Arabidopsis thaliana: one gene and its partners. The protein of the gene in region 1 interacts with the protein of each later gene in a pairwise test. Each region holds a gene or a part of one and is shown in the gene's direction. Other genes may lie near its edges. The genes, in order: GLUR2, MSS1, GRXC1 and WNK3.

Region 1 (9,135 bases):
TTATATACCAACAAGCATCGCTGTAAACGATAGTTATTGTTATTAAAAAGAGTTAGTAGTTGAATATTCACGAAGGTTGTGTGTCGCACTAGCTAGCTCGATAATTGTTTGAAGGACAATTGATTTAATATTTGTTTAATAGATTCGAGAAGATTAATTGAAAACTGTCTCGGATTAGGGTTCGTGCATGTTGTAATTAGTTCCGCGTGTTTACCTATAATGCATCTGAATCTTTAGACTAATAATTTTCTTTAAGATTCAATCTTTATTTAAGCATTGTTTATGTTAAAGCTAGCTGGTGAAAACAAGGTTATCTTAGATATAAGTAACACTAAGATTCTCTAGCGGAATAAGATCTAATCTATATACGATAGAATGGTAAGAGTTTTAAGAAAATAATTAAAAATAGAATGGTTGGAGTCTTGGAGATCGTGGTGAGTTTGAGATCAAGTCAAACAACGAAATTTGGCAAGAATAATACTAATTAAGCTTCCGTGAAATTAAAATGTTTTCCCTTTTCTTAGTTGGCTTAAATTTTACAAAACGGCTCAATATCTGCTTATGAATTTCATGTTTTAAGAGATCAATTCTGTTCTCTAGTATTTGGTTGGATATACGTTTGAAACTTTCTTTTACATTTTGGTACAACACAAGTTTTGTTTTCTTTCTTGATTCAAGTGTTTTTTTCTTTTCTTTTCTGATCTGATTCAAAATTAATTAATATACCAGAAAATCAGTGCATTTCGAAAGCACAAAACTAAATATTTTTCTTTATTAAGCATATATATAGCAGAATATCCTACATACGTTATACTTATCATCAAATCACAACATGTACATTGACCTATTAATTAGAAGGAAACATCCAATATACCTACAGACATTATATATATATATAGATACTAATTAGAGTCCTAACCTAAGATCTAAACAACACCCTGATGTGTCCGAAGTAGAAAGATCCTGTATTGTTGGAGGAACATTCAAATCCAAAGCACCACTGATCATCGGCTCCTCCTCCTTTTCCCAATGACATCTCATGTGACCTCCTAAAGCTTGACCACTCGAGAACACTCTAAAACAGATATTACACTTATGATGCCCTGAAAACGTAAGGATTTTTCCCTGATGATCATGCCCACTAGAAGTAGAAACCGTCATAGGATCATCGGTTACGTTTGTGATAGCGAAACAGCCTTTAACGTTTTTATGACTCGCTCTGTGTCCTCCTAAAGCCTGATGTGATCCAAACACTTTCTTACATCCTCCACACTCGAACCGTTCAATACTCGATGATGATGGTGTACCATTAGACAGCATTAAGAGACAAGAAGCGACTTCATGGTCTTCCTCGGACATAAATGAGACCCAATTTGGTAATATCTGGTTTAACTGTTTTGAAGAAGCCGCGGTGGGCACACGGTAGTTAGGAGGAGGATTAATGCCACGCCATTGACGCTCAGGGTGACATCTCATGTGACCAAAGAGAGCCTTCCAAGACCAAAACTTTCTGCCACATTCAGTACATGGACGTGTGATTTTGGGGGCATTTGGGTCTGGTTTTTTGGTGTATTTTGGTTTTGACGCGGATTTTGGTGAAGAACTAGAGGATGAAGCAACGGTTTTGGTGCGTTTCTTCTTAGGACTGTGATCGTAGCTTGAAGATAAAGCAAACTGGAGATTTGGATTAGGGTTGCTTGTGTTAGAAGGATGAAGTGGAATGTGAAAACTGCGATCATCATAGGAATGATTGTTGTTCATTGTGAGCACGTAGAGGAAGTGATGGAAGAAAAGTGGGAAAAAAAAGAGTAGAAGTTAGAGAAAGGGTTGCTTAAGTAGAAGAAGAAGGAGAGGTTACGTGGGAAAGAAGTTATGGAGGAACAGGGAGACAGTTAACTTCAGTTGAGGAACAGAGCGGTTTACTATGTAAGGAAGAGACTTATCTCTTTGCAGTTTGAAACCACCACGTTTTTTATGTATCAGTTTTGCTGCTTATTATTTGTTGGCCCAAGTTTATCTTTGATGGGCCTTATAATACTAGAGTTCATTATTTCTTATGGGCCTTATAATACTAGAGTCCATTATTTCTGATAGGCCTTATAAATCTTGCGTCTATTATTAAATTCTAAGCCTATGCAAGAATATTGAAGCAACAAAATTCCAAAGCCAACAAAATTCCAAAGCCAATTGGAAGATTTGGAAAAAGTAAAGATTTTAGTGGAGTTTGAGCTTCCATTACTCAATTTCGGTGGAGGTTCCACACTTCCACAGAAATAAAATCGCCACTCTCCCATCCCATGATTCACACTATTGAAATTGGACATTTGATTACGATTTGTTTCCTAGATTATTATTTTTGTTTCTATATCCGTTAGATTTTCTTTATCGTGCGTTTTCTTATCTTCCTGAAACATTTAAATAATAACAAGAATTGTTTTTGGTATAAGTAAACTTGTCTCTCTTTTTTGGTAAGAAGGTTTAAGGTTGCCTATATAGGACAACAAAATCAGAAAATGCCATAAGCATCTGTAATTTTTATTGGTTTGGGGTAAAAAAAGGTTACAAATAAAAGAATGGTCCAACAACATACATTCATTTTTGGAGTTATGTCATATGTGGAACATGGGAAGATGTTTTAAATACCTGAACCAAATAATATTCGAAATATCCAGACTTTCTCATTGTCGCATGAAAGACCACAAAATATAATACTATTACTTTTCAAAAAAGAAAATGAAACAATAAAATAAATTTAAAACAGTCATTGGATCAAGGTATAACGGAATCCAAATACAAGTATAATATATAATTATAAAATACTGATTCAATAATCAAAAGTATAATCATACAACTCCATGACGCAAACGATTAATGGTCCCAAAGATGATTTGGTTAATTATCTCTTTTTTTGGGTTAATGATTTCACTAGCCAATAAAAGATTATAGACTACCATTATAGATTATAGTAAGGAATAATATGTTTCTCATCATCATCTTCTTTACTTTGGCTGGGAACCAAAAGGGTCACTTCGTCACTTGCAAACAAAACAAAAAGTTTTCATTTTTCACTGGAAACAAAACTTACAAGTTAAGAAGTTCACATTTTTCAATCGATAATGGCTCATTATCTATGTCGACAATTATGGTTAGTCTATCCAATTTCCTTCTCTAACTCTTTTTTTCTTAGCCTGTAAATGTGACTAGTGCATGAATTCTGATTGGAAGTAATCAAATCCCACCAAAAAGCTTACCACTTTCCTAAATCTTCAAGCAAACCCATGATTTTACTTTTGTCAGTTTACCTCCTTTTTGTTTATTGAAGACCTACTCCTTCCTTTTTTCAGGTTTTTATATGTGTACTCCTCTTGCTTGTTCCTCATGCTTTCTTTCAGCTAGATTTTTCATGTGCCTGACGAATCTGCTTTTCTTTAAAGGATGATTTTGGTTTGGGTTTGGGTTTTGGCATCTCTGCCACTCATTTCTTGACAATCCTTGTTCTCTATGTTTGAGGTAAGGGTTTAATCCTCGTGACACTTTTTCAGTTCTGGTTAAAGTCACTTTCTTTGCTTATCTTCCTTATTCTTTTTGTTTCATTAGAAGTTTCTAGCTTTCTCTTCCTATGTTACTCTTTTTAAAAAAATCCCATTTTGATTTGGTGAAGTGGCTCACAATCTCTCATTTTGTGATTCTTAAAGTTTTTGGGAATTTTATCTAATTGTTGTTTGTTTATCAAACTTGGTGTTTCAGGAACTGATTAAGCCAAAGCTATGTTTTGGGTTTTGGTTCTGTTGAGCTTCATTGTTCTTATTGGTGATGGGATGATTTCAGAGGGAGCTGGTTTAAGGCCTCGTTATGTTGATGTTGGAGCAATATTCAGTTTAGGGACTTTACAGGGTGAAGTTACAAATATTGCTATGAAAGCTGCAGAGGAAGATGTAAATTCTGATCCTAGCTTCCTTGGTGGATCAAAATTGCGTATAACGACGTATGATGCAAAGCGTAATGGATTCCTCACCATCATGGGAGGTGAAAAAAAGATATGATCTTGTTTCGTTGATTCTTGTTTTGGAACTAAACTTTTACTTATCCTTTGTGTTGGTTTTATTTCACAGCTTTGCAATTCATGGAGACTGATGCTGTGGCTATCATTGGTCCTCAGACATCAATAATGGCTCATGTACTGTCTCATCTTGCAAATGAGCTTAGTGTGCCTATGTTGTCATTCACAGCTTTAGACCCTAGTCTCTCGGCGCTTCAGTTCCCGTTCTTTGTCCAGACAGCACCTAGTGATCTCTTTCTGATGCGTGCCATTGCGGAAATGATAAGTTACTACGGTTGGTCAGAGGTGATTGCATTGTATAATGATGATGACAACAGTAGAAACGGTATAACAGCTTTAGGCGATGAGCTCGAAGGAAGGCGCTGCAAGATTTCATACAAGGCTGTGCTTCCTTTGGATGTGGTGATTACGAGTCCTCGTGAGATTATAAATGAGTTGGTTAAGATTCAAGGGATGGAATCTCGGGTAATCATTGTGAACACTTTCCCTAAAACAGGTAAGAAAATCTTTGAGGAAGCCCAGAAGCTTGGCATGATGGAGAAAGGCTATGTTTGGATAGCTACAACTTGGTTGACTTCTCTGTTAGATTCTGTTAACCCGTTACCTGCCAAGACTGCTGAATCTCTTAGAGGCGTGCTTACTCTTCGTATTCACACGCCAAATTCAAAAAAGAAAAAAGATTTCGTGGCACGGTGGAACAAGTTGAGTAACGGGACTGTCGGTTTAAACGTTTATGGTCTCTATGCTTATGATACTGTCTGGATCATTGCTCGAGCTGTTAAGAGACTTCTAGATAGCAGAGCTAACATTTCCTTCTCTAGTGACCCAAAGTTAACCAGCATGAAGGGAGGAGGGTCACTGAATCTAGGTGCATTGAGCATATTTGACCAAGGATCACAATTTCTTGATTATATTGTGAATACAAATATGACTGGTGTTACAGGTCAAATACAGTTTCTTCCTGACAGATCAATGATACAGCCCTCATATGACATCATAAACGTGGTTGATGACGGGTTTAGGCAGATAGGGTATTGGTCTAACCATTCCGGGCTCTCTATTATACCTCCAGAGTCACTATACAAAAAGCTTTCAAATCGTTCGAGCTCAAACCAACATCTGAACAATGTGACTTGGCCTGGTGGGACTTCTGAGACACCACGTGGTTGGGTTTTTCCTAACAACGGGAGACGATTGAGAATCGGTGTACCCGATAGAGCAAGTTTTAAGGAGTTTGTGTCAAGGTTGGATGGAAGCAACAAAGTGCAAGGGTATGCCATTGATGTCTTTGAAGCTGCGGTAAAACTGATTTCTTATCCGGTTCCTCATGAGTTCGTCCTATTTGGAGACGGTCTCAAGAACCCAAACTTCAATGAATTTGTCAACAATGTCACTATTGGGGTGAGCAAAAGAATCAAGAAAATATCATTTCTCTTACAAAGCATTGTCGAAACTGACTGTAATAGTTGTGAGTTGTTCATTTCTGCTTTCAGGTATTTGATGCTGTTGTAGGAGACATAGCTATTGTTACGAAACGAACAAGGATTGTGGATTTCACTCAGCCTTACATAGAATCAGGGCTTGTCGTGGTTGCTCCTGTCACAAAGCTAAATGATACTCCGTGGGCGTTTTTACGCCCTTTTACACCTCCAATGTGGGCTGTTACAGCAGCTTTTTTCCTCATCGTTGGATCAGTAATATGGATTCTTGAACATAGAATCAACGATGAGTTCCGCGGACCTCCAAGGAAACAAATTGTTACTATTCTCTGGTTAGTAAACAGTCACTGAAGTTGCATTTTATCAATATGTTGGCACATAACATACCTAAAGACCTCATAAGCTATGATCTATGTATGCAGGTTCAGCTTCTCCACGATGTTTTTCTCCCACAGTAAGTTACATCTAAAAACTGCAGCTAAGTTACTACTGTATAGGTGATGATATCTCCAACATCTTTATGCTACTAAACTTGCAGGAGAGAACACAGTGAGTACACTCGGTCGTGCTGTTCTGCTCATCTGGCTATTTGTGGTACTAATCATAACATCAAGCTACACAGCGAGTCTTACATCGATTCTTACAGTGCAACAGCTAAACTCACCAATCAGAGGAGTAGACACACTCATCAGCAGCAGTGGACGAGTTGGGTTTCAGGTAGGTTCTTATGCAGAAAACTACATGATTGATGAGCTTAACATTGCCAGATCCAGACTTGTACCACTCGGCTCTCCTAAAGAATACGCTGCAGCTCTTCAAAACGGAACTGTTGCTGCAATTGTTGATGAGCGTCCTTACGTTGATCTCTTCCTCTCAGAATTCTGCGGATTTGCCATTAGAGGCCAAGAATTCACCAGAAGTGGCTGGGGATTTGTGAGTACCTTCATTTAAAACTGTCTCTGCGGTTTGTTTGAACATTAATCTTGATCATCTTTTTTGCGGTTTTGTTTGTAGGCATTTCCAAGAGACTCTCCATTAGCAATCGACATGTCAACCGCGATCTTAGGTCTATCAGAAACCGGACAGCTTCAAAAGATCCATGACAAGTGGCTTTCAAGATCTAACTGCAGTAACCTCAACGGTTCAGTGTCAGATGAAGATTCAGAACAGCTTAAACTCCGAAGCTTCTGGGGATTATTCCTTGTGTGTGGGATCTCTTGTTTTATCGCTCTCTTCATCTACTTCTTCAAGATAGTCCGCGACTTCTTCCGCCACGGCAAATATGATGAAGAAGCCACAGTACCTTCACCAGAAAGTTCACGTTCTAAATCATTGCAGACATTTCTAGCTTATTTTGATGAAAAAGAAGACGAATCCAAGAGAAGGATGAAGCGTAAACGAAACGATGATCTTTCTTTAAAGCCTTCTAGACCAATATGACAGATCCATCAAGACTCAAGCATGAAAGATGAAGAAATGCAGACACACATACCTCATACTTATATAGTAGAATGCAGATTTTGATTTTAACTGTACTTCAAGAATAAGCCTTGAAGAATACGGAACATTTTTTAACCAAAGAAAGTGAAGCATTAACTTGTAAGACAAAGCTATATCATACATAGTTCTTAAAAAAAAGAATTACTTGGTATCCTTTTTATCTTCCAGTTATGTTGCATACCAAAACTGTAAAAACTAGAGGTGCCAATCCGGATTAGGCAGTTTAGTTGCTAAACCGACTATATCCAAACTCGGAAGCTTTCCAAATGTACCGGTTGGTTTTTACTTTTTATAGGATAGTTAGTGGTTGCTGATTAGCCATTGAATCAAATTAGTCACACTAATCACTAAAAACATTTATAAACTCAAACAGTTAAAAACTTGGCTAGTTTTCTGTCATATACTACTATTATGTAAATTAAATACTAAGAAAAAAAAACTATAAAAACAATCTCAAAAAGAAAAAAAAACTTTCAAAAATCTGAAGAGAAAATATCAAAATTCGAATAAAAAACTTGGATACTTAAAATCTACATAAAAATGATATAAAAAATATTGAATATTTGGAATCTCTAACGACTAATGCTGGATCCAAAATCCGGTTAGTTATCAATTTTTATATAATATTATGAAAATTAAATATCAAAACAATAAAAAGATAGAAAATAAAAAATAAAAATAAACCTTAAAAATCCAAATACAAAATATCAAAATTTTGAAAAAGCAATATAAAATTCGAATTAAAAATCTCGATATTAAAAATCTATATAAAGATGATATGAAAACAAGTTGAATGTTTGGAATCGCTAACAACTAATGTTGGTTCCAAAATACGATCAGTTTCATACATCATTATGCAAATTTAGTGTAAAAAAAAACCTTTTAAAAATCCGAATATCCAAATTTACATAAAATGATATGAAAACAAGTTGAATGTTTGGAATCGCTAACAACCGAGACTGGATCCAAAATCCGCTTAGTTTCAAATATCTTTATGTAAATTTAGAATAAAAACAAAATAAAAAATAAAAAAAAACTTTAAAAGTCCGAAAAAATTGACTTAAAAACTTGGATACTAAAATCTTCATAAAAAATAAGAAAACAAGTTGAATGTTTGGAATCGCTAACGACCGAGGTTGGATCCAAAATCCGGTTAGTTTCATATATTTTTATGTAAATTTATAATTAAAAAAAAAAACCGGAAAAATTGACTTAAAAACTTGGATACTAAAATCTACATAAAAAAAATGAAAACAAGTTGAATATTTGGAATCGCTAACGACCGAGGCTGGATCCAAAATCCGGTTAGTTTCATATATCTTTATGTAAATTTAGTATCAAAACAAAACAAAACAAAAAAACGTTTAAAACTTTTAAAAATCCGAATAAAAAACTTGGATAATATATCTACATAAAAATGATATGAAAACAAGTTGAATATTTGGAATCGCTAACGATCAAGACTGTATCCAAAATCCAGTTAGTTTTCATATCATCGTTATGCAAATTAAAAATCCGTGAGAAAATCGATTTTTGGGAGGAAAAAAAAAAAGTAAATAAGAAGGGATAGGAAATGAACCTCAATTTGTTGATGGGCTTCTGAGTATTATATGGGCTGAAAATGAGATTTGCAGTCCAAGCCTCTTTCGTCCACCGCCATGTCCGTCTTCCCCGTGTGCGTGTCCGTGACTGATAAACCAAAAGCCTCCGATCATCCGATGAATCATGAACCGGAGAAACCCAAAAGTCGCCGATCATCCGATGAATCATGAACCGGATAAACCCAAAAGCCTCCGATCATCCGATGAATCATGAACCAGAAAACGCAAAATCTTCCGATGAACCATTGCATTGAAGACAGGGTAAACAAAATCCGGAATCCTTTGAATTCAAACAAAAGTAGAAAACTTCCGACGACGGAGACTGAGAGAAGATATCGTAACGCCATTAACGAGAGACAAAGGAGGAAGAAGAAGAATCAGAGTTGAATTAGAAGCGAAGGAAACAGGAATCGAAGAAGAGAATGGTGAAAATCAGAGCAATTGCGTATGTAATTTCATCTCTCTCTCTCTCACTTAAGAATTTTCTATCTCTGAGAAGGGTTCCTCAATTTATAGACACATCGTTTGTGTTTGG
Region 2 (9,068 bases), on another chromosome or scaffold:
TCCATGCATTGATCCTCAAACTCTTCTTCATCAATACCCTCTTGACCAGCCTCTTGACCAGCCTCTTGACCAGCCTCTTGACCCGTTACATGTCCTTCATCAACTCCAGCCTCTTGACCCGTTACATGTCCTTCATCAGCTTCAGGAATTCCCTGACCAGCTGCTTCCCCTGCATCTTGGTGGTTATTATCCTCTTCATTTATCTCTTCATAAAAGGCCCTAAACCGAGGATCATCTCCCTCACATTCTGCTACAGGATCAACATCATCATCTTTACCTCTGTCTTCTTCCCCAGTTTTATCTCCTTCAACCTCTGCATCAGACTCTTCCATCTCTTCAACAACAGCCTCTTCACCATGCTGAGACATAGGAAACGGTGTTGGTTCAGACACACCTTGCTCAATATAAACGTCTACTTCTCCACCAATCAACGCTTCACTGCACAGCTGCCTAATCCCACTATCTCTATCCTCGCCTATAGCTCTTACTGATTCAAAGCTTTCGTGTGCAAGCTTGTACCAAACTTTTTTCACGGGAGCAGATACTCCATTCTCTGCTGGGAAATCGGCGAAGATAGACCACGTCATCAGATCTGGATCAATGAGCATATCCCTCTTCTCAAATCCTCCAATGTAGGCAAACGACTCATCGCGAATTGAGACATCTCCTCCATACTTTATATGCAGCTTCAAACAATCGAAACCACTGCAAAAACAACAAAGAATAAGGGGATTAAGTTCAAATGACACAAACCTAGAACTCTAAAAACCCAGAAATCAAACCCGACAAAACCCTTAACCTAGAAATCGAACCCGACAAACATAGAAACTGTTACTCTAAACTCAGAAATCTAACCCGACAAATCCAGTAATCGATCCAGAAATCTTCCCATTCTCAATCCCGACAACCCAGAAATCGATCCCGACGAACAAAGAAATCGATTTCCCCCAATTCTAACCCTAAGAATCGATTCGATTACATACCTCATCGTGACTTAGCAGACTCGTTGAAATCAATTACCGACCACAACGCAACCAGTTAAACGACGACACACATCGAAATCGATTTGGGGTTTCGAAATCAAAGAGAGAATTTTAGGGTTTCGAAATCAAAGAGAGAATTTTAGGGTTTGGAATCGAAATCGATTTGGGGGAGAATGCCAAAAGGGTAACAGTGTCTTTGATTAGATCGAAATAAACACGTGGGGTTAAGTATTAACCTCGGTTAGACACTCCGTTAACGAAGTTAACAGTCGTTAACCCGAGAAGCTGGTTTTTCCAAACAAAAACTAAACGAAAGATTTTAAAGCGAAAAGAAATAAACCTAGGTATTGTTCGGGCAAATTAAATAACCGAGGTATTAAACGGGCAAATTAAAAATATATGGGGTGTTTTTAGGGTTTTTTCCCCATTTTATATTTATCAGCTAATATTCACTTATGGCTTGCTCAGTTCAGAAAATTATGGAAATCGTTGTAACCCAAACCTGTGATAGTAAAAACTGTAGGCGATACCTGAATCGGGAAAAGTTTACTTTATAATACTTCGGTTTATTTCTACCGAAACTGATCAAATCAGCCGAATGAGTACAATAAAAAGAAAGTAAAAAATTATGAAAATCGCCGTACTATTTAAAATTTTCACCACAATTAGAAGCAAAAATCTTTAGTATTTTACCAACATATATATATATATATATATAAAATCTACGAAAATAATACTGGAATGCTGAAATAATGGGATGTAGTTTCGTTTCTTGGAGCAACGTACTTACAGAGCTATATTTTTATTTTAGTTTTTGTTAACAGGATAATAACAATAACTTTATAGATATTTATTGTTTATATATTTTATTATTGTTATTGCTCTCGTTGAAAACAGAATAATAATAAAACAAGCCTTTTTCTTGTTAACGACTTGACGTATTTTTTTTCTCTTTTCCTATTAATTATCGTCACGTTTTATTACGTTTCTCTCATTGATATTTGTGGAATCTGAATCGTATTAGTCGACTCCAACTCTTAACAGGATAATGATGTTTGAAAAGTAAAATACACACTTTTTTGGTCCAAGCAGGAATATTTTGTTACGTAATTAATTTTACATGTATGTCAAGTGGATATAGTTTACTTACAAGTCTAAACACATTATATCCGTGGTACAATATTTCAACAATTAATATTCAATTTTTAATTTGCATGTGTTGTCCTACTTTAATATTGATATATCAGTGTATAGGAAAAACTTCAATTACCAAAACCACAAAAGAATGAAAAATCATACATCAAAAATCAAAAACCTAAATATATTGGAAAGTCAATTATATTAAAGGTAGATATTTACTTGTTGTTGTTGTTGCATTGCAACTTTTCAACGCGTAAACAATAACTGAGTAGCAGTGAGCATATTTGGTTATTAGTCTTATCAGAACCAAAAACATATATGGTTATTGTCTTTTAAAGATATGGACCCATGAACTATACAAAAGTGACTATTTGGTAGATATACACAAATAACGTGACACCAACTGAGAAAACCATATGACAAAACAACACATATAAATTTAAAAAATTGGCTTCGACTAGTTGTAGATATTTTGTTCCATAATCGTATTAGAACGAGAGTAAACAATAATTGAATCGAGTGGTGAGCAAATATGGTTATATATTATAACGATTTTAAAGATTTGGATCCATATTCTTAATTAGGGAGGTTGGTGGGTTCGATTGGTGTCGGTCTAGTACTCACAATAATTGTTTCATCTCAATATGATTCTGAAATAAAATGTTGAATATTGCTTACGGTGTTAAAAGTATATGGGACTAGATATGGCATATAACGTAACACTTATACATAACATCAATAAATTTAGACAATACAAAGGACAGAATTAGTAAGATAAAATTCACAAGTAACATGACGTTGGCTATTTTGTATGAACACACGGCCCAAATCGTTCATATTCTAAAAGGTATAATACATTTCGAGATATTTTGCTTCGGTTGCAAGATTTTCACAACACATTGAGTCATTGACAGCGATATGAGAAAATGTAACAATCTCTCTAATAAGAAAGGAGAATCTTATAATTTAACATAAAAATAAATATAATATTCGAGGATAATACTATAACAAGAAAGAGAAGACTTATATGATGATGGGCAAATTGTATATTCAACTATAAGGACTTAAGGAGACGCCACATAAAGCAGAAAGAGTTTAGAAGAAAACGTTTGTTGACCAATGACTTGATGACTCAGTAGCATGTGAACATAAAAAGAGACGTGCAAGAATCTCATTGGCTGCAGATAACATCTATTTTTGCTTCACTACCTCAACTTCTCTATATAATGAAGTAAACACCCCCAATGGTCTCTTTAACTTAAGTGTTTCTGTTTAACTCCTTGAGAGAAAATAACTTTTAAACTTTAGCTTCTAAGAGATATTCAGGATGACCGGAGGAGGATTTGCGACTTCGGCGAACGGAGTAGAGTTTGAGGCAAAGATAACTCCAATAGTCATCATATCTTGCATCATGGCTGCTACCGGCGGCCTCATGTTTGGTTACGACGTCGGTGTCTCCGGTAAGAATATTAACATCCCTTAGTTATTTTTCTATATGTATAATACAATCCTTTTATCTTATATTATACAAAACGTAGAAGAAGTTTTTATTTTAAAGATACATAAGTTTTTGTTAGTGCAAGTTTTCTCAAAAAACGATTTTAAATAGGACTTGCTCATGTTTTCAACTACCGCCAATAACTTCTTTGGTAGAACTATTTCACCTAATACCTAACTTCTTTGGTAATCAAAATGAAATTTCAGTAACTAGCTCGATGTTAATTAATATTGGTTAAAGTAAGAAAATAATCAAAAAAAATCTTAGCTTACAAAAGTTTGGCAGCTAAAGATCTAGACCGTCCTTGTTTTAGTTAGTATATTGACAAAAGTAGTGTCATATAGGTTTTAGTTCTTCTTTTTGTTATTTTCTTACAACACACATGCTCGATGTTGAATTTGAACATGGGCTACATCAACATGAATAAATTAATAAATTTATGAGTATAATATCCTATAGGGTTTAACGGTAAAAATAGTAACAACAAAAATAATTTTCCATCATTGAAATGGCTATACGCAGGCGGAGTGACATCGATGCCGGACTTTCTCGAAAAGTTTTTTCCCGTGGTTTATCGGAAAGTAGTAGCTGGCGCCGACAAAGACAGCAACTACTGCAAATACGACAACCAAGGACTACAACTTTTCACATCATCTTTATACTTAGCCGGTCTAACCGCAACGTTCTTTGCTTCATACACGACAAGAACGCTCGGAAGGAGGCTAACTATGCTCATAGCCGGCGTTTTCTTCATCATAGGTGTGGCTCTCAACGCGGGGGCTCAAGACCTAGCCATGCTTATTGCAGGCAGGATATTGCTTGGTTGTGGAGTTGGGTTCGCTAATCAAGCCGTTCCGTTGTTCTTGTCGGAGATTGCACCTACTAGGATCCGTGGTGGTCTTAATATTCTCTTTCAGCTTAACGTCACTATTGGTATCCTCTTCGCCAATCTTGTCAACTATGGGACCGCCAAGTAAATATCTCTTCCCTAATACTTTTCTTCTATATTTTATTTGATAATCTGAAAAAATGTGTGGAAAATAAACTTAGGGTTTGAGATTTTTTTGACAAAATAAAATCCAAATTAATATATGGTGGTCATAATTTTAGAAAATTTGCTTTAACATGACACTTGAAAAAATATCCACATGAATTGTCTCTTTCACTTCACACAACCTTAAATTTATTGTAAGAAAAAAAAAGATTTAGTTACATGTACTACCTAAAAAGTATTCATAATTTTCTGATCGTTTTTGTCAAACTTTTTGGCTGTCTTCCGTGTTTATTTAAATTTATTTTCACCTTTTTCAAAAATCATTCATATCCAATTACCAAAAAAAAAAGCATTTAACTTTATGAATAGATTTGAACAAAACAACAAAGAAAAAACTTTATCATATAAGTCGCAAACATAATTTTCTTCCGTGCTTTCGGCAAATTCTATCCACATGCCTACGTCTTATATAGTCGCAAACAAAATTTTCTCCGGCATTGACTTTTAATGCGTTATGATGATCTGTCACCTGTAATTAATGGGCTTACGTGTAGGCCCATAACGGAGTTAAAAACTGGCCCACTAAATAAATTTTGAAATGTTCGCAGGATTAAAGGAGGTTGGGGATGGAGGTTATCGTTAGGTTTGGCGGGAATTCCCGCGCTTCTTCTAACGGTCGGAGCTTTATTGGTGACAGAGACACCAAACAGTTTAGTCGAAAGAGGTCGTCTCGATGAAGGTAAAGCTGTTCTTCGTCGTATTCGAGGGACCGATAATGTTGAACCAGAGTTCGCTGATCTCCTTGAAGCTAGTCGACTTGCTAAAGAAGTTAAACACCCTTTTAGAAACCTTCTTCAACGTAGAAACCGTCCTCAGCTCGTCATCGCCGTCGCTTTACAGGTTAGTACTACCACTTCTCTGTTCTCTCGTAATTGGTAATCGGAAAAGTTTATCTCCGATTTGGAGAGTTTGACTGAAGTGATTTTGTTTTTCGTTTAGGATCTAGAAACCCTAAAATTTGATTCCATTGTGGTCATTTTAGGAGCAATAACCCTAATTGTTTGTCAAGTTTCCATAATTTTAATTCCATTGTGTTCATTTTAGGAGCAATAACCCTAAATTGTTTGTCAAGTTTCCATAATTTTGATTCCATTGTGTTCATTTTAGGAGCAATAACCCTAAATTGTTTGTCAAGTTTCCATAAATTTTGATTCCATAGAGTTCAGTTTCAAAGTTTAAAGCTAATCTTTTTTTTTTTGGTGTGCAATTTGCAGATTTTCCAGCAATGTACTGGAATCAACGCGATTATGTTCTACGCGCCTGTTCTGTTCAGCACATTAGGGTTTGGTAGTGACGCTTCACTTTACTCAGCAGTGGTGACCGGAGCAGTCAACGTCCTCTCAACTTTAGTCTCAATCTACTCCGTTGACAAAGTCGGTCGCCGAGTTCTTCTCCTAGAAGCTGGTGTCCAAATGTTCTTCTCTCAAGTCGTAATCGCCATTATCCTTGGCGTCAAAGTAACAGACACTTCTACAAATCTCTCCAAAGGTTTCGCAATTCTAGTCGTGGTAATGATCTGCACATACGTCGCTGCTTTCGCCTGGTCTTGGGGACCGCTCGGGTGGTTAATCCCTAGTGAGACATTCCCTCTAGAGACACGTTCCGCGGGACAAAGTGTAACGGTCTGCGTTAACTTGCTCTTCACGTTCATTATCGCTCAAGCTTTCCTCTCTATGCTTTGCCATTTCAAGTTTGGGATATTCATCTTCTTTTCTGCATGGGTTTTGATTATGTCTGTCTTTGTGATGTTCCTACTTCCGGAGACTAAGAATATTCCTATCGAGGAGATGACTGAGAGAGTTTGGAAGAAGCATTGGTTCTGGGCTAGGTTCATGGATGATCATAATGATCACGAGTTCGTGAATGGTGAGAAGAGTAATGGTAAATCTAATGGCTTTGATCCTTCAACACGGCTTTAAAGTGGTTTAAGAGTCCCTAACCAAAGTAGAAGCAGAAGAGAGTGAACAAGAGGTGGTAAACACACCAAAGTAGAGAAGGGAAATACAGTTTTCAATTCTATACAGTGTACTAAATTTCGTTACTTTAAGTTTGAACTGCGTTTGTGAATAAGTGAAGTTTTTTTTTTTGCTTTGTTGTGGTTCTTAATGTCATCCCTGAGTTCCAATTTTCTACAAGTGTGACATGTATATGTCAAACTCTAAATTTGCATTGTCGATTTTCTCTTAAAAATGATGGTAGCCTATGTTAATGGGCCAAATATAGGTTTGTTATGGGCCTATAATGGACTGTATAATTATTTTTGTTGGTCTCAAATTGCTTAAAAATATAGACTAGTTTTGAAGTTATACAGTCTACTCTCTACTAAAACCAGCAGTGATCAAATTGCATAAAATGTTGTTATAAAAGTTTACCCAAAAAAAGGTATTTATCACAAATATATTACTTAGATTAAAGAAATCATGGTACCAAGATGTAGGAGGAAGAGTAACTGCGAAGTACTAAAATTAAAAGATGATTCAAAATTAGCAGACCAACTAACTCGCACCATTCTTTCCTTACAAGCCTTCCAAACTTTAAACCATGTGAACACTTGACAACATATAACAAGAATCACTTTTTTCTCCTTTTGTTTAAAAACCGACTAATTTATGAGTTTTCAAAATGAATTAACCATAGTATTTTTTTATAAATTGGATTATTATATCCCAAACTAAACTTCATGTGAGATTTCTAAGTCATTCATGTCTTTTAAAAAATATCATGTCAAGATTTATTTAACATTTTATAAAGTTTTAAGGAAAAAAATCATCATTTAATTTCTTTCCTCCATTATTCTTTCTCAATTATATCGACATTTTTATTTTTTTATACATTCTTCCAATTTTCCAAGTCAGTCTTAGACATTAAATCCAACACTAATAAAAGGTAAACAAGTAAAGTAAACAATCTTTGTCAGTATTTTGCTTTTTAGACACTCCTTTCTCCAAATTAGCCAACTAACCAATAAAGATCAAGTGACCTCCTAATACATACGCACCACCACTCACATTCACATACCTCCTTGTATATATACACACACATAATAAGAAAGAGAGAAACTAAAGGAGAAAACCTTGTGGGGCTCTTTACCAAAGAAGAAGAAGAAGCGTGTGTCAGAGAAAGTTTGTTGACCGATGGCAGCCATTATAGTGGCGGCTTTAGCGTGTATCGTGGTGATGCTACGACTGAGTGAAGCGGCCGTGTACAAAGTCGGCGACTCAGCAGGATGGACAACCATAGCCAACGTAGACTACAAGCTATGGGCTTCTACCAAAACTTTCCACATTGGTGATACTGTCTGTGAGTTCCTGAATTTTCTTACATCATTGTACAATACAAGCTAAATTAAAATGAGAAGATCTTGACTGTAATACTTAATTTTGTCGGAAAGTGGACCCCCTCTAGCATTCATAATTCTTAAGTGCGTAAGCTTTAGGTGTAAAGTAAAGAGTACCACTCACGCCCTAATCATTGAGACTTTTAAGTCACAAATTAAATTTATAGGATTAATACGAAATCAAGTGTCACATCTGCTAAAGTGATTATATTAATTAGTTTAGAGAGGTTCTTAACTTATGAATCATGATTGATAAATTTTGAAATAAAAACTATGATTGAGTTTTTGGGCCAAAATATGTTATGATTTTTCTTTGGTTTATATATGCTCTCTATTTTTTTCTCATGGTATGCACATGTTTAAAATTGTTGTTACCTTTATGAAAACATGAGTAAAACGTAAACTAATTTGATTTTGATAGTGTTCGAATACAACCCACAATTCCACAACGTAATGAGAGTGACGCACCCAATGTATAGAAGTTGCAACACCTCAAAGCCAATCTCTACTTTCACCACCGGCAACGACTCAATCACACTCACCAACCACGGCCACCATTTCTTCTTTTGCGGCGTTCCTGGCCATTGCCTCGCCGGTCAGAAGCTCGACCTTCACGTCCTTCTCCCTGCCTCCTCCACGCCACTCTCTGATCCACCAACTTCCTCCTCCTCTTCTCCTCCCTCGACTACTATTCCTGCAGCCGGAGTCCCTGGCCCTTCTCCTAGCCTTGCTGCTTCTCTCCCGAGTATGGTGACGGCTCAAATCGTGGCCGTGGTGACTCTCCTAGTCTCTTTGGCCTTTACAAATTTTGCTTCTTAACTAGGATTACATATATGTATATTGGAATTACTGCATATAAGTTTTTGTTATGTATACTTATATTTTCCATATAGTTCTTTTTCCAATGATTAAAAAATGTAGAGATGGTTCAACAATAAAAATGTGCACTAAAACCAATTAGTACTTAATGAGAGTATTGTTAAACCATTCCGTTATATTCTTTTGGTCATCTTTAACCAGAGTTATGAGATAATACGGATAAAATTTTGATTTGTG
Region 3 (6,367 bases), on another chromosome or scaffold:
GAGGTCTGTTTCGAGACCTCTGAACGAAACATCAGTGTCTTTAGGTGGTGGAGTGTGGAGAATCAAGCACCATCCTTCTCTGAGCGGTGTTGTATTGGCGGCTTGTATGCATAACGGTTTTGCTTTAGCGAAGGTTAGTGATGGGAAAGGTGAAGTGTTGGAGAGTTATAACAAGCATCATTCTCTTGCTTATGGAGCAGATTGGTACAGAGGGAAAGATCAGAAGCAAAGCGTTGTGGCAACTTGTTCGTTTTATGATCGGCTTCTTCGGGTATGGATGCCGATAACTGATTTTTCCACACGATGTTCCTAAACTTAAGAACACAGCTGTTAAGGTAGATTCATCTGTGCTCCGACTTGAATTAGGAAATTTCTTTGAGCTCTGATTTCGAAGGGTCATGTTGTTGTACTTCGTTTTCCTTATTTCCCGGAATATTTATTTGGTTGAAGTTGTTTCAAGAACCATCTGATATGGTTGAAACAACTTGAACCCCATACTTAATGAAAGTGAATTTAATAACATATGTTGAGTTGGAGCAATAACACTTATGTCTGAATATTTAAGTCACTCAATATCAGCAACAAGAAGTCATCGTCTCAGAAGGAAATCTCATAGCCGTCAGCGTCGATGTTCTCCGGAAAAGCCTAAAACATCCAAAAAAGAGAGTAAGATCCAAAGGAATGAATAATTAAAAAGAAGTTTTGGCAGATAAATGCGAGAGAAAGAACCTTGAGTGTAGGCAAGAAACGGGCTTTGGTGGCTTCATCTTCCCATTCAAGGATTTCTATCCATTTTTTATGTGCCTCTATGACAAGATCACCTCTTGGGACACTCGTGAAATTGAGTGGAAGTTTTCTCAGCTCTGAGCATCCATTAACCAAAATTTTCTGTAAACAGGGAAATGGCAGGGGACCCCGGTGGATGTGTTTTAGCATCTGAACATTTTCTAGCCGCAACTCTTTTAGTTCTTGGAAGGGAATAAGGTTTTGCTGCTCAGCTTTCTCTTTGTTTATTACTTCTTTCAGGTCACTCGCTGAAATTACTCGTAGAACCGTAAGATTTGGAGCAAAGATCAGCCACGTCAAATCCCGCAATCTTGTGCAGAATTCTAAAGACACTTGCGAGAGGTTTGGGAAGAATGTGGTAGTGGTTGGGATGTGCAGAGGCAAAACCGTCTCATTCCTCTTTACCTTGATCTCCCAAATGTCAGAGTCTGCAAAATGAAGCTCTTGAAGACTGTCCATAGTAGCAACAAATGAGATTACAGATGATTGCGGATTAAGATTCTCGATGCGCAGAGCTCGTGTACAGCTTGCCAACCTCTGGTTGCTAAGGAATTGTTCCAAAATAGAAGCAAGACCAAGAGTTATGGTTAAAGTTTGCAAGTTTTCCAAAAGCTGCAACTCGTTCAAAACACAGGGATCTTCAGGGAAACCGGAAACAAATAATCTCAACACTTTCAAACTTGTTAAACCTGATATGCCACAGATACTCTCTACCATCCTTGTGTACTCCAAATTCAGGTATAAAAGTTTCCTCAACTCTACTAAACCAGCAGGCCAAATCCTTATCCTTGTACGTGATAAGCTCAGATACTGCAATGAGACACATTCTGATATTTCATTTGGCAAATGTCTGAGATCCCTGTTCATTGATAGATCAAGAACAACTAGCATTGGCATCAACCGAAAGAAGCTGCTTGAGATATGCCCCAAGAAGTTCTTTCGGAGGAGCAAAGTTATAAGTTGGGGAGATTCAGGAGCATCACGTATACTTTCAATGTTGTTAAACATCAATGACACCCTTCTCGCAACTTTCCACTTCTCGATCTCAGGTATGTTCCTCGACTGTAAGCCCGCTTGCACTATAAAGTTTTCTTTTTGCTTTCCAAAATCAGATGCTATCCACAATGCCATTTCTCGGACCACATCATGCATCTTCACCGTTTCTTGATTCTCCTCCATCAATAAGCATGAACGAACTAGAATACCGATAATTTCATAACCTTGGTTCTCAGCTTTACCTTTGTTTCTATCTATGAATCCCTCACCTATCCAGTAATCTACCAAATCATTTTTCTCAATGTTATGATCTTCTGGAAACAAAGCACAGTACTGGAAGCACAATTTGAGCTGTTCACTTTTTAAATTATCATAGCTGTACTTTAGAATAGGTAGAATCTCATCTTCCATACCTGAAAACTCAGCTGCAGATGAAGTCAAAACGTCGATTGCTGAACGCCATTCTTGCACTGTCCTTTTATATGCCATTGTTTCACCAATGACGTTAAGGGCCAATGGTAGGCCGCGACATTTCTTAGCAACTGTTCTTGCGACTGTGGGAATCTCAGGGTGGCTCCCTAATGTGATCTCTCCTACTTTCTTAGTAAACAAATCCCACGCATCATCCGGGGCTAAACACCGGACTTCCATATCGCTATCAACTCCCATCCGCCCGCAGATTTCTTTCAACCGAGTGGTGAATACTATTTTGCATCCGTTTTCTCTACTCGGAAACGGAACTCCCACCTCTGTTAAATCCACTTTACTCCATATGTCATCCAATAACAAGACAAACCTTTTGTGCTTTAACACATTGTAAATGTTAGATGCTTTTATGTCCTCTGTTTTCTGTTTCCACTTCTCGTTATCAGACCGTAACTTCTCCCATATCTCATCTTGGATCCTCTGGATCTGTAACTCTTTGGAGACCACAATCCAAATCACAATATCAAACTCGCCCCCAACTCTAGAGAATCTATTGTTGATATGACTGAGAAGTGTAGTTTTACCTACTCCACCCATACCATGAAGACCAAGAATCCCAATCTCATCTTCCATTAGACGGTTCCACGCACTCTCAAGCATTGGATCCATAGCAACCATAGGTCTAGTAGGCCTCTCTTCCACTCTTGCTGCATCAACTCTCTCAGCCACCACAGCGAAATCTCCCTGATATCGAAGAACCTCAACTTCCTCTATCATCTTCATTACTCTCTTCCCATAACGGTAGCTTGAGACAAGATTCTTGGAACAAAACCCACAAAGACACAACCTTTGGACTTGAACAGATCTCATTCTGACGAGTTCGTTAACTCGAGGTACTATTGCTTCAACTTTTGAAACCCATCCTTGCACAACAGAAAGTCGTTGTAAACCTCGTCTTTCTTCAGACAAAATCTTTCTCAACAAATCTTCTCGTCTTTGCTCAATCTGCTCAAGAGCTCTCTGCAGAGCTGTCAGATTCTCCTCTAAGCCATGAATGTAATCTCCATTCCTGTTTAAGCAACTACAAACATTCTTCGTCAACTGATCACATGATATTGATACAGAGACACAACCTCCCATCCTGCGTTTACACAAAAGAAGAAGTAAACTTGTGGCAGAGAACTAGAAGAAGAAAAAGGATAAGAGCTGCTGAGTTGTGAAAATTGACAATAATCCAAACTCTAAAGTCGTCGCTATTGTAAACTTTAAACAATATTCTGAAAAGAGAAATTTCTACGAAAAAAGACTAAAAGAGTATCATTTCAGAAAGATAACTTTTTTTCAACGCAAATAACTCTTTAATAAATATTGACTGAGGTTTGATTGAAAGAGATAAAAACTTCATTTGCCAGCAAGATTGGCACAAAACTCGAGCAGAGGACATCTGTAGGAGTTGTGTCGTGGTCGTCTTTGGTTAAGAGAAGAAGAAATGGGTTCAATGTTCAGTGGAAACCGAATGAGCAAGGAAGAGATGGAGGTGGTGGTGAACAAGGCTAAAGAGATCGTCTCTGCTTATCCCGTTGTTGTCTTCAGGTTTGTTCTCGTTGAAATCTCCCATCTTTTTCATCTGGGTATTACTCTTTTCGTTCGTGATTATGAATTTGTTGAGAAAATTGGATGTTGTTGCCTTGAGGGGTTTTGAATTAGTCAAAAAGTTTGAGTCTTTACCATCAGGGGGTAGAGTCTGCTTCTATTTGACGCAGAGGCACCAATGGATCATTGTCTGCTTGTTTTGTTGTTTCCATCTGTGAAATTAGGTCGTGAATGAAAGATCGAACATCATCTTATATTAGTGATTCTCCATCCAATTCAGAGATTATTTGTGGGTTCCCTAGACGATTAGGGATGTGATCATGTAATATATACTGATAGATCCAGTTCTCAAATTTGATTCTGACTAGTCTAGAAATCTTTGAAGAAGCTAGAGTTTTTGAAGATTGATCCGTGCAAGCTCCTATGACTGATTTGGGGATGCCTTTCGGAGTTTTGAAATGAAGCTTAATTTGTTGTTGCTTAGAGTCTTGAGTTTGATTTTGCTTAGTCTTAAAAGGAACGTATTTCTTTCCACTTTTTGAGATGGTCTAAAGGTTACTTTTCAAATGTAATGTCTTAGCTCTGATCCATATTTTCTCTTTCGCAGCAAGACATACTGTGGTTATTGCCAGAGGGTGAAGCAGTTACTGACGCAGCTAGGAGCAACTTTTAAAGTACTTGAGCTCGATGAAATGAGTATGAAACCAAATCCCTGTCAATACCTGTATATTAATATATCTCAATGAACCTGAATTATCTCGATGCTATGTTTACTTCAGGTGATGGAGGTGAGATCCAATCAGCTTTATCAGAGTGGACTGGACAGACCACAGTTCCAAACGTCTTCATCAAAGGAAACCACATCGGTGGATGCGATAGTAAGTGAAAAACCTACACAAATTCTCTGCACAATAATGGAAATTCGGGTTGCCGGAAAAACTAACTGCGTTTTTCGTGTTGCTTCTATATTTTGCAGGAGTGATGGAGACCAACAAGCAAGGCAAGCTTGTGCCTCTACTTACTGAAGCTGGGGCTATTGCAGATAACTCTTCTCAACTTTGATGAAACTCGAAACTAGTGTGTGAAGAGTGTGTGTTGTGTTTAGATCATGAAAAAAGAGGTATCGTCACATACTCAATAAAGAAAGATCATTCCCGTTGTTTAATACAGAATATCTAAGTGTATACTTTTCATGTTGGTGTTTCGGTTAATGGAATAAAACTTGAGAAATCTGCTCTAGTTTCTTGCTCTAAATTACTGAAGATTACTGGTTGCATCCCAAGTTGACTTTGTAGCAGGCCGGTCAAGTAGGTGGATTAAGGCTTTTGGTTGAACCAAACTTATCTAGTAACCGGCCGTGTAGGTGCCTTAAAGGCTGAAAAACTAATATTAGCCAAATCGATCAACGGAAAGTTACGATTGAAAGAGAAATGAATATTCGAACAGCAGAAGTGCATTTTCACTGATTTGTGTAATCCAAATTCGGATTCGAACAGCACAAGTACATTTTTCACTGATTTGTGTAATCCAAATTCGGAGAACCAATGTCCAATGGCAATGAATAATGTCAATTTGGTTAATCTAGATTTATTATAAAGTATAGTGCAAAATCGTAGTTTAAGAGAACTTGTGGGGTCAATTAGTAAATATTATCTAGAGCCGGTTAAAGAAGAGAAACTGAGGAAACTGAATTTGACCAGAGAGTGTGTTCAAGCGAAGCGTTGTAGAAGAAAAGACAAAGTTTTGGAATAAGCGGAGCAAAACCTAGACAGGCCCGTGTAAGATGGAGATTTGTTTTAAAGATTTATCAAATCAATAACTACTAACCTAAGCAAGTAACGAAGCCGTGGCTCTCACAAATTAGCCCAAATCCTCAAATTTCACCAAAAGTCTTCGAATTTATTCTCCAGTATCAGTTTCTCTGGGAAAAAGTTCTACTTTTGCGGACTCTGAGGAAATCTTTTGTATCTGTACACCATTCATGGGTTAATCCGATTAAACCCGTGTTGCTCCGTTAGGGTTTAAGAGAATTGCCGCCTTCACCGGCCATGGCTGCTAAACTTGTGTCCTCCTCGGCTTCTTCTTTGGTTCCATCCATTTTCTCGCCGTTTCAACCTCGGAGTTCCTTTCAGGTGACAATTTCTTAATTTGTAGTCAGCCTTTAGAGTTTCTTCTATGCTGCATCTGTGTTTCATGCTCCCAATGTATTGTCTCGACAGATGTTTCTCCCAATGTGGTTTGAGACATTGAACAAATATTCATTTGATCTAGTAGGAAAATTTAGTTGACACATTTGAGTATACTAAAATCAATGTGTCTGAAGTGGACTTTAAGATATAGTTTTTGCAATTCTTACTTAGATTTGATTGGGACATTGCAGTCTTGTTCTCCATAGATGATGCCTAGAAAAAACTGGAACTTCATCTGATCAATAATGCTTTTTATTAGGTTATGATAAAATGAAATCAAGTGTTGGTTTCATTTGTTGTTGTTGATGAGGTTATTACCTGCTGTTTCTTGGTCTTGGGAAGCCCATGTTTATGGATATTTGCTGATATTTGTCGTC
Region 4 (7,417 bases), on another chromosome or scaffold:
TCGATTTCCTGATCTTTTCCATCATCAGACTGATCTCTTCTTCTCTCACTTCTCGAAAGGATCGTACCATTTTGTTGCTGAATAGATGGAGGACGCACACACTTTTCATTTGCCTCCAGTACTCTCCATAAGGAGCTGAGGCCACATCATGCTTATCGTAAAGAAGTTTCTCGAAGATTTTTGACCGTGGCCGGCTTGCGAAAACACGGTCATGCGTCTTCAAAACGTCTCTAGCCAATTCAGCTGAAGATACTACAAGAACGGGGACACGGCCAAAGTGAAGAAGCATAAGAGGACCGTACCGGTGGCTGAGAGAGCATAGTGATCGGTGAGGGTGGCGGCCGAGTTGATGAAGGTTTCCGATCAACGGTAGTCCCGGTGGTGACGGAAGTGTGTTTCTTTTCTTCCCTCTCTTCTGTTTTCTGAAAATTATGATGGTAACTACAAAGATTATTGAGCATAACAGAAAGAACATGATCATCATGTCTGGATTCTTCAAGTACATCAAAACGTGTTCTTGTGAAGAGTTTTTATTTGTGGTTTTTTTGGACTTACATATACAAGCCAAGTTTCTTCACGGTAGTACTAGTACGTAATTACTGTCCACTCAATCTTTTGGACTTATGTATTTATGCATGCACCAGTCTTTTAATGTTTAGTTCTTCGAGATTTTTCCTTGTGAAAGTCATTTGGTGCGTTTACGATTTATGTCTTATTTTGGTCGTGTCACCGTTCTAGTCTTTCGGTGCTTCCACGATGTGTCTTACCACCATACAATACAAGTGCCTAGGATAATGGTCTCAGGCTGCCGTCAGCTCTAAGGATTTATATACTCTGGGCCCAATGGGCCTTACAAAAATTTGATGATCATTGTATATAATCGGTTTTTAAACGGCTGAACCGCCAATTCATACTCATCAAAAATACAACGACAACATTGTTCAACAAACAATTCTCCATGAAAATTTAAATGTCCTAATTCGTCTCAAACATTCTGTCTCCAATATGTAAAACATTTATATTTTGAGATATAAGTAGAAGTAATAGATTATAACAAATGATCATAACATTAGTGTAGTGATTTGTGTCAGTACAAGTTTCTATTTAAAGTGTAACAACATTGAATATTTATGTTTCACCAAAAACTATGACTATTATTCTATTAATCCTGAGAGAGAGAGCAAAACCCTTTAGTGAAAAGTTTCCTTAAGTTTAAAAGAACTGAAGCTGAAGTCCAAATTGTTGTTTACACACAGTAAAATCGAATTCGTTACCATGACAAGCGGGTTCAATGGCTAAACATTTTGTAATTTACCAAACCCATTATTCGATTTGTAGGATAGTCAATTATAGGGTTCTTAGTCAGCTAAAACAGTGACTTAAGAGTTAAGAAGGGGAAAAAAAAAGTCCGAATATTTTATATTCACAACACCATGAAGTTGACTGAATAAGCAAAATAATTGATTAGAGTAACATGACAATAAATGAGAAGAAAATCAAATAAAAAACCAGATCCATGGCGCGAAAAAAGCAACGACCCACACCTTTGCCACGTGGTCTTGTCCAGTGGATCTGAGTGTCCTAAATTCGAAGATGAGAAAGAGAGAGAGTGTACAACATTCTACAGTCGACACCATTATGATCAGCAGCTGGAAAAGCTTAAGCTTGGTTTTAATGGCACAAAATCTAAATAATCGATTTATACACAAAAAGACAGCTAAGTAATGATTATTATTATTATCAGAAACTGCTTCAAAACTTGTTCTTCCTTGACTAAATTTCTCTCTTCTCTCAAGAACTCCTATCATCTGTTTTGAATTGCAAGTAACCAAGAATGCGACAAGACGAGAATAACTCCGAGGAAGAATTCGTTGAGATTGATCCCACTGGTCGCTATGGCCGGGTCTGTTCTTCTTTACTTGATTTTAGTGTTACCTTTTTCTCAATTCTAATGTTTTTGTTTCTCATGTTTTCAGTATAAAGAAGTTCTAGGCAAAGGAGCTTTCAAAGAAGTGTATCCTTTTTCTTAGATCTCTGTTATTACTACAGAGACAAATCAGATTAGATTCGGACAAGACACAGTCACTAAAGGGTTTCTTTGATCAGAGAGTTCTTCAGATACAGAGCATTTGACCAACTTGAAGGAATCGAAGTGGCTTGGAACCAAGTTAAGTTAGATGATAAATTCTGTAGCTCAGAGGATTTAGATCGTCTTTACTCTGAAGTTCACTTACTCAAAACCCTTAAACACAAAAGCATCATCAAATTCTACACTTCTTGGATCGATCACCAACACATGACTATCAATCTCATCACCGAAGTCTTCACTTCCGGAAATCTTAGACAGTCAGATTCCTCTCTCAGAAGTCAAATCAAATCTTTTTTATTTGATCAATATTATTCATGTTTGACAAACCCTTATAGGTACCGGAAGAAACATAAGTGTGTTGATCTAAGAGCATTGAAGAAATGGTCAAGGCAGATCTTAGAAGGGCTTGTTTATCTACATAGCCATGATCCTCCTGTGATCCATAGAGATCTTAAATGTGATAACATTTTCATTAATGGGAACCAAGGTGAGGTCAAAATTGGAGATCTAGGGCTAGCCGCGATTCTGCACCGCGCTCGCTCTGCTCATAGCGTCATCGGTGAGATCTTTAATCTTGTTCTCAAACGAAAAAGTTTCTCCATTGTGAAACTATAATTTTGTGTTTGAAATTGTTTAAGGAACTCCTGAATTTATGGCGCCGGAACTCTATGAAGAGGACTATAATGTACTTGTCGATATCTACGCGTTTGGAATGTGTTTGCTTGAGCTGGTAACTTTTGAATACCCGTATTCCGAATGCACAAATGCTGCTCAGATTTATAGGAAAGTTACATCGGTAAGTGATCATATTCCCATCTCATATCCAATCAAGAATGACTTTTTCCATATTGTCGATCCATTTTTCTCAATGCTTCTTAGGGAATCAAACCAGCCGCTCTTTTAAATGTGACTGATCCGCAAGTGAGAGCATTCATAGAGAAGTGTATCGCAAAGGTCTCGCAACGCTTGTCAGCCAAGGAACTACTTGATGATCCTTTTCTGAAATGCTACAAGGAAAATACCGAAAACGTCAGCTCTCACAAAGGTAATATCAGATTATGGTATTTCATTTCATCTCAATATGAAGTGTCATGGACTCCTTTCTTAAAAGTTAAAATCAATAATAGTAACATAAGATAGTTTCTATATTTTTTCTATGTGAAATTTTCTAACACCAAGTTCAATAACATTGTCACAGAAAATGGTTACAACGGAAACGGAATCGTGGATAAACTCTCGGATTCTGAGGTAGGCTTATTAACCGTAGAAGGCCAACGTAAAGACCTCAACACAATCTTCCTAAAACTACGTATCACCGATTCCAAAGGTTCAAAATCTTTTTTGCTTTTTTTATTACAAATCTTCAGATCATTACTAAATCTTCTTTTGACACAATAATAACATTTTTTATACAGGTCAAATCCGCAATATCCACTTCCCATTTAACATAGAGACAGACACATCTTTCTCAGTCGCCATCGAAATGGTCGAAGAACTAGACTTAACCGATGATCAAGACATCTCAACGATAGCTAAAATGATCGACACAGAGATACATTCACACATCCCCGATTGGACCCCTTCTCGACTTATCGGTGATGATTCAGCGGTACAAAAATGTTTGTCTTCTCCAGAGACGCTCCATTTAGATAGATTTCCTTCAGGGAGAAAATTCTGGTCCTCTCCTAAAGCTGGAGCTGGAGACTCACGTTCACCGTTTGCGCCACGGTCTAATTCTAAGTTGTCGTCAGCACAAGGACCGATCAATCAAGAAGTTGGGGTTATAGTAGAGAAACTTGAGTCTTTGTTGAGGAAACAGAGAGAGGAGATTGAAGAGATGCAGAGAGATCAAGAACGTATTGTTACTGAGTTCTTAAAAGAGTTTCCTCCTGAGATTTGTGAAGAGGCTTTGGTGAGATTGCAAGTTAAAGATTCTGATAACTTATTGTGTTAGTACGTTTTTTACATTACACACTCTCGTCAAGATTAATTTGGTTTGCAATATTATGTTGTACTAAAGGTAAGTAAATGTGTAACAAAATTGTGACAGTTATGATTGAAGGAAAACTATTTGTCAAATAATATTTCTTGAATTAGTTAGGTGAAGACGTAACTAGCTCAGAAGAGTCTGGGAGAAGAAAAGAACGCGGTGATGATAGGTCACATCACTGTGTTCTTATTCACTTGATTCTTCTGAGCTAGCCTCGTCCTCTTCACCCAACTCTTATGAACCTTACTCGTCTTCACTGGACTCACTTGCAGAGACTCTAATAAGGTTGTCTTATGATCTATGCTCGCCTCTCATAATCTTAGAAGAAGATATAGAGCGGTTCATATTTTGTTCTCTCTCGCCTATTAGGTTTAATGGGTACTGGTGTTTCTTAAATAGCGTATGCCTCAAGATAATATATTAGGGTTTCATAGATAATAAACCTAATCACCAAAACATTTGGCATAAATGGGCTAAAAGCCCAAAATTTCATAAAACTACCTTAAAACATCTTTATAGGAAAGAAAGCGTTTCAGGGAGTAAGCAAATATAAGCATATGGCAGCGTCAAGGACTCAAGGGATCCAATCAAAACTACAAAGAGCAAATAAATAATCAAAACAAAAACTGAAATAAACTAAATTCTCATACTTGTTCAGGAATTGGTTTCTGATCCGTCGAAGCATGCACTCCCTTGCTCTGCCATGAAGAAAACATTTTTCCGATCAATTCTAGGGCACCGAGAAAAGCCCTCAATTTTCATAAGAACTAAAATCGAAAAGTAATTTAAGTTAAATTGTTCTTGTTGGTAAGCGATTCCGGGACTGGACCCAAATATCTGGCATAAATGGGCTTAAAAGCCCAAGCCAGAATAAACCAACTTGAAAATATCATATCACAGCATTAAAACGCAGCGTTTCAGGAGTTAAACCCCTAAATTTTCAGGAAAATTGCATTTTTGCTTAAACCCTATTATTGTCACTTTCTCTTCCTCTCCCTCTTCCTTATTCGAAAACACACAAAATCACAGTAGTAGCATCTGTAGCCATGTACAGATCAATGGCAATCCTGTCTTCTCTTCGACACGCGTACTCACAGATCTCTACTCGATCGTATCTAAGCCGATCTAAGGTGGGTTTTTCCTCAAACTTGTCTTCGCCTCTCGATTCATTTGCAATCGTCCCTAGTCGATTTCTTTGGAAATTTCGAACCTTTTCTTCGAAACCAGATTCTATGCTTCAATTAGTGCTTGAGAATGATTGGTCTAAGGAAGTAGAGGAAGGATTGAGGAAACCTGATATGTCTTTGACACACGAGACTGCAATTTACGTTCTGAGGAAATTGGAGAAGTATCCTGAAAAAGCTTATTACTTTCTCGATTGGGTTTTGAGAGATTCAGGGCTTAGTCCAAGTACTCCACTCTATAGCATTATGTTGAGGATTTTAGTGCAGCAGAGATCAATGAAACGGTTTTGGATGACTCTGAGGGAGATGAAACAAGGAGGGTTTTATTTAGACGAGGATACTTATAAGACTATTTATGGTGAGCTTAGTAAGGAGAAATCGAAAGCTGATGCTGTGGCTGTGGCTCATTTTTATGAGAGAATGCTTAAGGAGAACGCAATGTCTGTTGTTGCTGGAGAGGTTTCTGCTGTTGTTACTAAGGGGGATTGGAGTTGTGAGGTTGAGAGGGAATTGCAGGAGATGAAGCTCGTTTTGTCGGATAATTTTGTGATTAGGGTGTTGAAAGAACTAAGGGAACATCCTTTGAAAGCTTTGGCGTTTTTCCATTGGGTTGGTGGTGGTGGTAGTTCTTCTGGTTATCAACACAGTACTGTTACTTATAACGCAGCTTTGAGGGTTTTGGCTAGGCCTAACTCGGTTGCAGAGTTTTGGAGTGTTGTTGATGAAATGAAGACTGCAGGGTATGATATGGATCTTGACACTTATATAAAGGTTTCAAGGCAGTTTCAGAAATCTAGAATGATGGCTGAGACAGTTAAGCTTTATGAATATATGATGGATGGTCCGTTCAAACCATCTATTCAAGATTGTAGTCTTTTGTTGAGGTATTTATCGGGTAGTCCCAATCCAGATTTGGATTTGGTGTTTCGGGTTTCGAGGAAATATGAATCAACAGGGAAGTCTCTCTCAAAAGCTGTTTATGATGGAATCCACAGGTCTTTAACCAGTGTAGGTAGGTTTGACGAAGCTGAGGAAATCACCAAGGCTATGAGAAATGCGGGTTATGAGCCGGATAACATCACATACAGCCAACTCGTGTTTGGTCTTTGTAAAGCTAAGAGATTAGAAGAAGCACGAGGAGTCCTTGATCAAATGGAAGCACAAGGATGCTTTCCCGACATAAAAACTTGGACTATACTGATCCAAGGGCACTGCAAAAACAATGAATTGGATAAGGCCTTGGCGTGTTTTGCGAATATGCTAGAGAAAGGGTTTGATATTGACTCTAATCTGCTTGATGTCTTGATAGATGGGTTTGTTATCCACAACAAATTCGAGGGGGCAAGCATATTCCTTATGGAGATGGTGAAAAATGCCAATGTAAAGCCTTGGCAAAGCACGTACAAACTTCTTATAGACAAGCTGCTAAAGATCAAGAAGAGTGAAGAAGCACTAGATCTTCTTCAGATGATGAAGAAGCAAAATTACCCTGCGTATGCAGAAGCTTTTGATGGATACCTTGCAAAGTTTGGGACTTTGGAAGACGCTAAGAAGTTCTTGGATGTGCTTAGCTCAAAGGATTCTCCTTCCTTTGCAGCCTACTTTCATGTCATTGAAGCTTTCTATCGAGAAGGAAGACTCACTGATGCGAAAAATCTTCTCTTCATATGTCCCCATCACTTTAAAACTCACCCTAAAATCTCCGAACTCTTTGGTGCTGCAGCTTGAGGTATTATGTCACCCAATTGTTCCGCAGAGACATGTTCATCCCATTCAGCTACAAGAATACAACCAAGAGGTCATCTACTGTTTGGAAGTCTTTCCATTCAACCTCTCTGGAATAAAACTCTACTCTCTTTGCGAATAATGTCCATTCCTCTGTTCTACGTGCTGCAGGGTAGTAAGATGATTTTGTAGGCTTTGTTGATGGAACTGAAAGATGTTGTAGGATTGTTCATAAACAGTTTGCATTTATTTATTCATTTTGCAATTGTTGAGCTTCTCTGTCTCTTTCTTGTTTTCTTCAACTCAGTATTGAATGGATATCATTATTTTCATCAGAGAATGCAATTATGGATTGAGGTCTTGATCATGTCCTGGTAGAATCTTTCTCTTTGCTTTCATCTTTATTGAGGATCATTGTTGGAAGTATTA

The links.
Region 2: the proteins of GLUR2 (region 1) and MSS1 interact in a protein complementation assay, tested with the Arabidopsis thaliana proteins (one large-scale study listed by BioGRID).
Region 3: the proteins of GLUR2 (region 1) and GRXC1 interact in a protein complementation assay, tested with the Arabidopsis thaliana proteins (one large-scale study listed by BioGRID).
Region 4: the proteins of GLUR2 (region 1) and WNK3 interact in a protein complementation assay, tested with the Arabidopsis thaliana proteins (one large-scale study listed by BioGRID).

Annotation. Positions count from the first base shown.
Region 1 is NC_003075.7:16,786,523-16,795,657, forward strand, and holds GLUR2 (glutamate receptor 2), read left to right. Parts: upstream 1-3,008; 5' UTR 3,009-3,510; intron 3,511-3,747; 5' UTR 3,748-3,767; coding exon 3,768-4,026; intron 4,027-4,112; coding exon 4,113-5,461; intron 5,462-5,553; coding exon 5,554-5,831; intron 5,832-5,921; coding exon 5,922-5,953; intron 5,954-6,037; coding exon 6,038-6,432; coding exon of another isoform or gene 6,433-6,450; exon of another isoform or gene 6,451-6,461; intron 6,462-6,513; coding exon 6,514-6,939; 3' UTR 6,940-7,163; downstream 7,164-9,135. Other genes in the region: DAZ2 (C2H2-like zinc finger protein), read right to left, coding at 907-1,761; AT4G35295 (homoserine kinase, putative / HSK), read left to right, coding at 8,811-8,861. UniProt on the Arabidopsis thaliana protein: Glutamate-gated receptor that probably acts as a non-selective cation channel. May be involved in light-signal transduction and calcium homeostasis via the regulation of calcium influx into cells. Could play a role in calcium unloading from the xylem vessels.
Region 2 is NC_003076.8:9,241,377-9,250,444, reverse strand, and holds MSS1 (Major facilitator superfamily protein), read left to right. Parts: upstream 1-2,904; 5' UTR 2,905-3,450; coding exon 3,451-3,583; intron 3,584-4,143; coding exon 4,144-4,594; intron 4,595-5,223; coding exon 5,224-5,515; intron 5,516-5,889; coding exon 5,890-6,594; 3' UTR 6,595-7,047; downstream 7,048-9,068. Other genes in the region: AT5G26330 (Cupredoxin superfamily protein), read left to right, coding at 7,810-7,975, 8,434-8,831. UniProt on the Arabidopsis thaliana protein: Mediates an active uptake of hexoses, probably by sugar/hydrogen symport.
Region 3 is NC_003076.8:25,282,655-25,289,021, forward strand, and holds GRXC1 (Thioredoxin superfamily protein), read left to right. Parts: upstream 1-3,522; 5' UTR 3,523-3,697; coding exon 3,698-3,801; intron 3,802-4,408; coding exon 4,409-4,497; intron 4,498-4,580; coding exon 4,581-4,679; intron 4,680-4,777; coding exon 4,778-4,863; 3' UTR 4,864-5,040; downstream 5,041-6,367. Other genes in the region: AT5G63010 (Transducin/WD40 repeat-like superfamily protein), read left to right, coding at 1-313; AT5G63020 (Disease resistance protein (CC-NBS-LRR class) family), read right to left, coding at 598-645, 730-3,348; AT5G63040 (uncharacterized protein), read left to right, coding at 5,850-5,933. UniProt on the Arabidopsis thaliana protein: Has a glutathione-disulfide oxidoreductase activity in the presence of NADPH and glutathione reductase. Reduces low molecular weight disulfides and proteins.
Region 4 is NC_003074.8:17,869,638-17,877,054, reverse strand, and holds WNK3 (with no lysine (K) kinase 3), read left to right. Parts: upstream 1-1,524; 5' UTR 1,525-1,834; coding exon 1,835-1,903; intron 1,904-1,976; coding exon 1,977-2,014; exon of another isoform or gene 2,015-2,118; coding exon 2,119-2,346; intron 2,347-2,424; coding exon 2,425-2,648; intron 2,649-2,727; coding exon 2,728-2,885; intron 2,886-2,968; coding exon 2,969-3,134; intron 3,135-3,287; coding exon 3,288-3,416; intron 3,417-3,504; coding exon 3,505-4,043; 3' UTR 4,044-4,235; downstream 4,236-7,417. Other genes in the region: CYP71A26 (cytochrome P450, family 71, subfamily A, polypeptide 26), read right to left, coding at 1-484; BIR6 (Pentatricopeptide repeat (PPR) superfamily protein), read left to right, coding at 5,126-6,991. UniProt on the Arabidopsis thaliana protein: May regulate flowering time by modulating the photoperiod pathway.